Linked DNA regions of Schizosaccharomyces pombe. The gene in region 1 interacts genetically with each later gene. Each region holds a gene or a part of one and is shown on either strand. Other genes may lie near its edges. The genes, in order: atf31 and atf21.

The links.
Region 2: of atf31 (region 1) and atf21, changing one enhances a phenotype caused by changing the other (phenotypic enhancement), as found in Schizosaccharomyces pombe (one study listed by BioGRID).

The regions. Positions count from the first base shown.
Region 1 is NC_003424.3:704,526-709,777, forward strand, and holds atf31 (DNA-binding transcription factor Atf31), read right to left. Parts: upstream 2,949-5,252; coding exon 2,319-2,948; 3' UTR 2,304-2,318; coding exon of another isoform or gene 2,163-2,303; 3' UTR 2,128-2,162; coding exon of another isoform or gene 1,879-2,127; 3' UTR 1,837-1,878; coding exon of another isoform or gene 1,767-1,836; 3' UTR 1,728-1,766; coding exon of another isoform or gene 1,112-1,727; 3' UTR 1,077-1,111; coding exon of another isoform or gene 1,004-1,076; 3' UTR 966-1,003; coding exon of another isoform or gene 808-965; 3' UTR 769-807; coding exon of another isoform or gene 670-768; 3' UTR 634-669; coding exon of another isoform or gene 570-633; 3' UTR 532-569; downstream 1-531. Other genes in the region: ATP-dependent DNA translocase Rdh54, read left to right, coding at 1-11, 48-238, 291-364, 400-531, 570-633, 670-768, 808-965, 1,004-1,076 and 4 more; SPOM_SPAC1296.01C (phosphoacetylglucosamine mutase), read right to left, coding at 3,530-3,602, 3,643-4,406, 4,454-4,814, 4,903-5,119, 5,220-5,252.
Region 2 is NC_003423.3:1,720,885-1,725,130, reverse strand, and holds atf21 (Atf-CREB family transcription factor Atf21), read right to left. Parts: upstream 2,119-4,246; coding exon 1,051-2,118; 3' UTR 681-1,050; downstream 1-680. Other genes in the region: mRNA guanylyltransferase Ceg1, read right to left, coding at 1-284.

The DNA.
Region 1 (5,252 bases):
TGGGATCCAAGGTATGGTAAAAGTGAATGCTTGATCTAACATTACAGGACGCATGTAGATGTTGTTATTGATCCTTTCCTTTCAAAGCATCTTTATTCTCATCAGCGGGAAGGAGTTTCCTTTCTTTACGACTGTTTATTAGGAATGGAAGGAAAATGTGGATATAGTGCAATTTTGGCTGATGAAATGGGCTTAGGAAAAACGTTGCAAACTATAACAGTTGTCTGGACTTTATTGAGTATGAGACTTAGGGTTTTTTTTAACTTTCATTCTCTAATCTTATTATTTAGAGCAGTCTTATTACGCCAATCGTTCTTCGACTATAAACAATGCAATGGTCGTAGCACCTGTCACTCTTTTGAAGGTAAGAAGTTTCAAAACTTCATTACTAATGGCTAGAATTGGGAAAATGAGTTTTATAATTGGCTCGGTCACGAGCGTATTCATGTTTATATAGCTAGATGCGCTGAAGATTTCCAAGAATTTACGTCGAACAAAACTTATTCGATTATCATTACAGGATATGAAACGGTAATTCCTTTATTTATTCTTTTTTCTAATTGCTAAAGGTTTGTACGTACTTGAGAAACTATGGATGCGGGATTGATATTGATCTTCTAATTTGCGACGAAGGTATTGATTTGTTCATAAATAGTTTATTAATCTTAGCTCACCGCTTGAAGTCCATGAGTAGTCAGACTTGGATTACGCTGAATAAGCTAAAAACTAGAAAGAGGCTTCTTCTCACTGGTACGCCTTTACAAAACGGTATGAATCAGTGAATGCTATTTAATTTTAACCGCTCAGATTTGTCAGAATATTTCTCTATGGTTAACTTTATAATTCCTGGATCTCTGGGGACCCCAAATTCTTTTAAAGCTCAGTATGAGCGGCCTATATTAAGGAGTAGATCAATGAATGCTTCCTCTAGGGACATATCATTGGGAGCTGCAAGACTTCAAAGGGTTTGTTTACTAAAGATAAATTTTATACTGATTTTTAGCTTTTTGAATTTACAAGCAATTTCACGTTAAGGAGGAAAGCCAATATACTGGCTAAACATTTACCGCCAAGAAGTATGCAAATATTAAAATCAGTATTAACATAATAGCCGACATTGTTTTATTCATAAAACCAACACATCAACAAGAGAATGTTTATGGACATGTTCTCGATGGTTTCAAGTCAAGCGTTGATCAGAAGGGCTATTATCTTAAAATTTTGACTCGCTTGAGCAAGATATGCAATAGCACCATTTTATTGAGAAATGAAAAGGAAAATTTTTTGTCAACGGAGTTGCAAGATAAGCATGTATTCGAGCAAGAGAATATGTTGCTCTCCTCTAGCAAACTGCAAATATTGGCTGCGCTACTTAAAAGTTTCCAAAGGGGTTGCCAAAAAGCTGTTATTGTGTCCCAATATAAAGAAACTCTCGAGTTGATTGAATTGTTTTTATCAATTTTGCATGTCCGTTTCTGTAAATTGCTTGGAAGTACTCCTTTCTCTGAGCGTGATTTAATAGTACACAATTTCAATACTTCCAGCTTCAAAGAATTTAGTGTGCTTTTACTTTCAAGCAAAGCTGGTGGCTGCGGTTTAAATCTTACCGGATCCACTAGGTTAATAATTTACGAACCAAGTTGGAACCCTGCCCAAGATTTGCAAGCATTGTCAAGGATATATAGAAGCGGGCAAAAGCGGCCAGTCTGTATATACACATTTTTAAGGTACGACCGCTTTTACGAATAACATATTAAGTTATGCAGCAGTGGAATGCTAGATGAGCGCATTTTTATTCGCCAAAATACTAAGCAAGGGCTTTCAAGTTCGTTCATAGTATGTGATTTATTATAAAATTTTATACTGACTTGATTGTAGGATTCCGATGCAAGCCAAAAGAAGAATTTTTTTACGGGTGAAGACATCAAGACACTTTTTTCATATTCAAAAACTGAAACTTGCTTGACATATGAATTAGCATTTGATTCTGATGAAATTGATTCATTAACAAAGAAAAAAGATCCGTTAACTAAAATTGACCATACGATTGATTCCCCAAATACGAAGGAAAAAGATAAAGAAATCAGTTCTTGGAAAAAGGCTTCTGAATATATGGATACTAATTTGGTAAGTTGTATTTTCATCCTAATATTAATGGCCAGGGGAAAAAGTGTCCAGAGAACGCATTTCAAGGATGGACTTGGCAATTTCCGAATGACCTAAGTATTATGAATGGCGTAGAAGATTATATCCCTCTTGAGCCTTTACCTATCAACTGTCTAATGCATAAAAAGTTCGAATAGATCTATTTCGGACTTTTAAGGAGGCGTAAGCGGTTTTTCCTTGCCCATTAGAAACAACGCTTTTGAGCAAGCCTTCGATACTGGGCAATCTCTATGAGCAAACACCAAGGTTCTCAGTTTAATTATTTCTTCTCTTAAATCATTAGCACTTTGCAAAAGCTCCTTGTTTTCAGAAGTGTAGTAGTTGACTTGGTCTTGTAATGTTTGTAAGTACTTTTTCTTTTTTATCCTACACTTTTGGGCAGCTTGTCTGTTTCTGGCTTTCAACATTGACTGCTTAGTTCCAGTTAATTTGGAAGTGTTTTCATCACCTGAGTCATCCAGCTCTCGTGATGGTGAGTTGTGTGAAGCCTCGGAAATTATACTGGGGCTTTTAGAGGCAGTGTATTCTGATAATTCATCAAAATCGCTTCTCCTGATATTATATGGATCATTGTTAATAGGGGATCGATCGTCGCCGAGCTCTAAAGCTTTACGTTTGGCTGTCAATAAAATCTGAGTTTGCATAAATTGTGAAAAATCGAGGGTTTGGGAAATTGAGATGTCTTTTTCGAAACGAGAAAGATAAATTGAGTTGTATTCTTCTCCATCTTCATGCTTCGGAATAATGGATTCCTCGGTTGGTGTATTTGTTTCGTAGGTCATGCTGAAAATGATTTATTGATCAATAATTTTTTTAAGAAAAATTTATAGCGTCTTATGAAAGACTTCTTTTTCGCAAACGAGTAGAATTATATATTTGATTTTTTTTATGAGTTTTTGGCACCAACTTCTTTTAATAATCGATTTCAAAGTGATCACTATAAACGATAAAATTTGTACAGCTGGATAATGCCGATTAACTGGTAAATAGGTGAATTATTGAACTTTCCGTCAATATCCTTTATAACAGCTTGATACAAATATGAGCGTTTGTTTGCTCACGCGAGGTTTATATAAGTCCTTTATGAGGGAATATTAAATTCAAGCATTGTGAGGAAGTCCATGTAAACAAACACTTTTTCTTGTGAACACAACAACAAAATTATAATGCCTGGTTATTTTAAAAAATTACTATCAACAAACTGTATACAAGTATATTCGCATATGTATGCACATATTTTTGTTAGATATTATATAAGAATTTGGGTAACCAAAATTATTACTAGATATCCCTAAAAACAACATTAAACAAGACAGTTCCATCATAACCAATTTAGTCATTAACATTTAAATTTAAAAATTGTTTAATGTAATAGTTCAACAATGCGGAGGGCTAAATCCTCAGATTCACCCCTTGAACTAGCTTCCGCATACACACTACAATTAGAGTTAGAATGATAATTAACATTGAACTTACCGAACAGCATCCTCGGTTCCAGATGATCGAACAAATGCCCGACCGCCCGTGTATTTTGCTACCAAAGCGTCAATTTTTTCTTGAAGTCCTTCCGGTGTTACTAGTTTTTGTTCGGCATCAGTAGTAGTATAAATTGACCGGTCTTCTACTTCACAGCGAATTAGACGACTAGGAATTTCGCTATATAGCTGATTCCACTCTTTCAAAGTGCAATTTTTGTGAGCCAAAATGACTTCCACCAAAAGTAAATTAGTAATAGCATCTCCATCAGTTTGATTAATCAATTCAAAGACTGTTTTTAGAGTTTTTAAGGCATTAAATTGGGCTGGAGACAATACTTCATGAGAAATTATCTTTGATAATGCAGCATGAGAGACTAAAATTGTACCATGACCATTTGCTTCAAAAAATACTCCAACATCGTAAGCTTGAGCAGCATGGTAAAGATGCTTAAGACCGGGAGACACACATAAAACCGGTACCTTTAAAGTTTTTTGGAAAAATGCCGTGCTGGCTCCATTTGCATAAGCAGTCTGAACAATACCAACTTGAAGGTCCAAACCAGTAGAACGGATTAGGTCGATTAGAAATTGGGCAAATAAAGCGCATATTTTGTCACCATCTAACAGATGAAAGCTGTGAGAGCCAAACGCAAAATACACAATTCGATCAGCATCCCCGTCAAAAGAGGCACAACGGGCATGTTTTGGGGCACTAATACCGTTTGGAGGCTTTTGCTGAGTCCTTACAAAATCCGCTCCACACTAGTAAATTAGCATGCAATTGTAAACAATGTATCAAAAAAACTTACCGAGTTATTCAACAGTTCAGGATTATCAATATTGTCGTTTACGATTTCGATAGGAAACAGCTTTGGATCAATATACTTGGCCAGTTCTTTTATCTTAGCCGCTCCGACGCCGTTAGCAGCATCTATCAATACAGTCCCTTTAATCTTCTTTCCTGTCATTAAGGATTGATATGCCTTCGACAGCTTTTCAAAATACCCTCTTTCAGTAGGTTCACCTATTGCATCTGGGGTACCATAAGTTTGAGAAGCCTTGACCATGTAGTGTAGCTGAGGTGTAGTTAAAAGGCCAAAATTTTCGTACTTTGCTTTGCAGACCACAATACCGTCAATTACAGCTTGCGCAAGGATTTCTGAAGTAGACCTAAGTATTAGATGTTAGTCTTGGACATAAGATTTAAAAAAGCGGAGAAATTAAGTGATCTAATATCGACAATAAAAGTAAAACAAACCTTGAGTCATAGCCAACAAACACCCGAGCTTCAGAACCGGGAATAATCTTTGCCTTTTTCAAAATTGAAGTTAAACAAACCGTTAATTCGTCAGCGGAATCCGCATTTACTACTTGATCCAGGTATGCTTCCCATTTGCTAGAATCCAGGCTACTCAAAATGTTTACGATCTTTAACCCGTTTTCGGAAGAGGCGTTGTGCGAGGCAGTCACCATAACTAAGATTGTTAGTAAGTAAACTCAAAGAAATACAAAGGAACAAGATGGATATCAATATGTAAATGAATCATCTCGCAATAATAAAAGTATGTGTCTTACGTCCAACAGGTTGTCCATGCAATTTGGCTGACA
Region 2 (4,246 bases), on another chromosome or scaffold:
TTACGATCAAATAAATATACACTGGGTCGATTTTCGTACCGAGGATGCTCGGTCATATAAAGTAAACAACGAATTCCATCACTTTTTTCACATACGAAATAGTTCTTTTCTTTTAATGCTTGTAAATGTTTCTTTGAAAAAGAAACTGGCTGTGATCCAGGAAATGTATCAGGACTTGTTCCTAATAATTTGGCAATTCGTGTCTTTAAAACCCTCACATCGTCGCGCGGTGCTAAAACTCCAGGGACTGATACCTCTTCAATGTCTTTCTCTGAGGGTGCCATTCCTTTTAATAATACACTCGTTTCTTTGCTAAGAGAGGGCTTAAGCACTTTCTGAAGGAGTAGAAACGGGATATAGTCTTAATGTACTAAATAAAGACACATGGTTTGTATAAAAATTCCTTATGCAGTATAGTGATCTTTTGCTGCAAAACGCAAAAATGCATATAATTATAGCTGCTCTACGAATACTGTTATCTTTTCTACCATTTACTTCAGAAAGTGTTATTCTATTACTTAATTTTTTTTTTATTCCAAAGCAAACAATATATGTAACTGTGGTGTCGTACTGAAGATAAAATGACATGTCTGTGAACGAGGTACAGATTATATGGCAGTGATTACAGATTTGGCTCATCTAGGTCAAGTTCGTAAAGCAATCGTAACCTATTAAAAAAATACATATAGGGAAGATATATCATTACAGTAATTATTAATCTGGAAATGAAACGTGCGTAAAGGATCTTCGAAACATAAACACTTTTAATGAAGAAACATGAATGAAAAACCCAAGCAATTGAATGAAACGAGTTTGGAGTGAGATTGCAAATCCCATGAACACAGTGACGCGAAGAAAATAATAGTATTGTGAAAAAAGAAAAATAAAATATGCCAGAGTTAAAGTACAATTACTATAGACAAGCAGTAGAGCAGCACTGGCCGTCTTTTAAGCATCTCCTATTGCAAGATTCTATCCAGGCTCTCAGAAATGCATATACAGTATAATAAAAAAATGTTACGAAACTTGATTCAATGGGGTGTCATTTGCTCAATGTTTCTGAAAGGACATAATTCCTTGAGCCTCTGAAGAAAGATATTGTCGAATTCCTTCGCAATTGCAATCTTGATGAGCTAATAGTTGATTCTTCAAACAAATTACTTCTTCACGTAGTTGGCTGACTAAAATCCTTAGAGCTTTCGACTGCTCACATGCGATATGTGCTGTTTTTTCGAGATTCTGTGTCCAAAGCTTTTTCTTTTGGCGGCATTTCGATGCGGCTATTCGATTTCTCTCTAAAAACCGCCTCCTCTTCATATCAGGAGTTTCATTGTTACTAGCGGTATGAACATTGTTACTGCCAGGTGTACCCCGTCGTTGACTGGAGGCGACGGTTTTATTGGAACAGGACTCATCGCTGCTGTTGTAGTCTCCATTTGGAGATTGAGACTGCTTCTTGTTGGAGTTTAAGTATCCTTCTCTACGTAAGGATTCAAGATTATAGAAAATCTCATCGTTATTCGCAGTAGCGGAATTCTTATATAGGTCCAAACCTTTTTCTTGTTCCGCTCCTGTTAGATTAACATTGTTTTGCATAAGATTTGACTGCACTACGTATGGGGCGTTGGTTCCATTTTGGAATTGTGGATGAAGCACTTGATGAGATCCATTATTATAATGATTCAAAGTACTACCTTCAGAGTATAATGAAGGTGCAACAATTGTTGAGCGTACAGGAGGAGTATTTGTAGGCTGGCCTTTGTCATTATTGTTAGAAATCTCCGAAAGGTTTACCGTTTGAGGTAATGATACCTCTGAAGTACGCTCGGGTCCTTTGAGGTAATGTCCAATGCTAGCATCACCTACTATTGAAGCGTAGTTATTATGTGAATTCGAGGGAAAGGATGTTTGATCTTTAGGTCCCTGGACTGGACCTCTACATTCATATACTCCGATATCGCTAGATTCAGCGCGTTTTTCTCCAACTTCATGGTTACCACCATCGCGGAATGTATTGAAGTTAAAATGAAAATCATGGTGAGTGCCATTACTGACGCTAGCACCATATCCTTCATTACCTAGTGTATCTAACCCGAGATACACATTTGCGAAATCCATGATGGAAGATTGATGATGAGCAAGTTAATTTTCTATTGAGTGCGGTTGAAATGGTTTCGACGGTAAAGCCGATGAAGATAGTTGATACAAGAACGGACTAAATAAAAAGCGAAAGTTTCTTTTTTGTTAGTAGTGCGAATATGTAGTGATTTCTTGAAGAAGGTTAAATCTTAAAAAGAGGCTATGTTATTCAGGTGCTGGCGAAACAAATTGGGAAGGGAAGATGAAGCAAATTGTGGTCGATCAAGTGACGCAAATTTGGATTGATGAATAAGGATGCAATATCTTTGTATAAAATTTCTGAATAGTGATCCCTGTGAACTTCTTCAAAAAAGTAAATAAAAGAAAATGAAGAATGTATAAACCGACAAGTTGGTGATTTGAAACTTAGGAGCTATCAATGGAAAAGTTTCTTTCAATTATATAAATGTGTTCTCTCTTTATTTTTCCTCTGTTTTAAGCATGCAGTAGTGTCCCGGTTTTAGGAAATGAACGAACGATAAAGGAAGGGATGACAATTCGTCGTTCTACAGAAGGATGGAATGGATTAATGGCAAAAGTGAGGATTCCTGGGAAAATAAGTATATATATATAAGGTGGACAGAGAAAGAAGGTAAAGGATAATGAAGGTGGTGAAGGAAGCAATGTCTTACTGCGTCCCTGGCAAGTAAAGAGGCTTATAAACAATAGAGAACTATGTACTAAGGTGGTTTAAGATACCAATTCCTTAATTTTGGACTTGGATTACTATAAGAATACGTTTCTGCTGAGAAATATGATGCTGCAGTCGGTAACTTTTTGGTTTGTGTCGCAATGTTTATATATGTTGATCGGGTGAGATGAATTTTGACGTCACTGCAAAACAAACAAACGAAGGGCTAGGGTAGCCAATCGGGAAATGATTTGTTTACTTTATGAGATGAACTTGCCGTATAGAAATAAAAAGTTTTTCTTTATAAAAATTTATTTTTTTTTTGTTTGAAGGGATTTGTTGCAATTAACAAAGGCACTATGCTAAAAAAGTCAAGCAGTATTATCCTTTAAGGCCTCCATTTTAAGGAGCTAACCGAAGGGGACTACATTCACGTGTCGCTCCACTGTGTAATATTTACATCACAGTCGTACCGTTAATTGGCCACCATATTCGGAAAGGAAAATCTAGAGTTCTATTTGATGCAGATTATGTCAAATATAATCAGGATTTACTTTTATTTAAACCAATCAAAAAATAGCCGATTACTTGTGGAGAGATAATAACGCTATCCCTCGGTATTCGTAGTCGTCAATAGTAAAGTTGTGAATGCGAAAATATAATATCGCCTCTCTTGCTAGCTTTTTTCATATTTATTTCCTTTAATGGTTTTGATGAAACTACCTAGGCTTCAAATTTTGTCGTTCTCTTACGCGCGCCACCATAAACGGCTTTATCGTTACTGATAATAATAGCTCATATCATTACTATTAGTAGCCTTTCCGCTATCAATCCTTTCTCAAAATTTAGCCGCAACTTGTTTCTAATACTTCTTCATCTTTCTTGCCCACATTTACTTATATTGTCGCAAGCAAGAGTAACATGTTATTGATTTAAATCTGGTTTGCCAGAATTCTCATTTTTAGTATGTATACTATCATATCTTTTAACTATACACGAGATGAAGTTTAACTTTTGGTCACATTAAATCAAAATAGACAGAACGGATCGTACATACGACCATGAGTTAGCCACTGGATTGAATCAGTTCTGCAAATCGAAAGATGTTGAACTTCGCAGTTGACAATATGAGAATACTTTAGCAACATCTGGAATATTTAATTAAGCTCTACGTCAATTTGGTAGAAATGTGACTATCTAAGATATAGTTGGCAATTTCCCGAATTCATAGGATATCACCTTTAAACCTTTTGACTTAATTTAATGATATTATTTTTCTTTATTTTAATTTACTGAGATGTAAATGCCGTGATTGTTGCATGTGTATACCTCAGATAATAATTGGACGTAGACACTATTGATTAACCCACGTAGCTATTTCACTTCTTTTGAATATTTTTCTCTTATTCATTCCTTCCGATTGCTGAATTTTCAATGCAGCCGTCAAATTAGGAACATATTACTTCATACGGACTC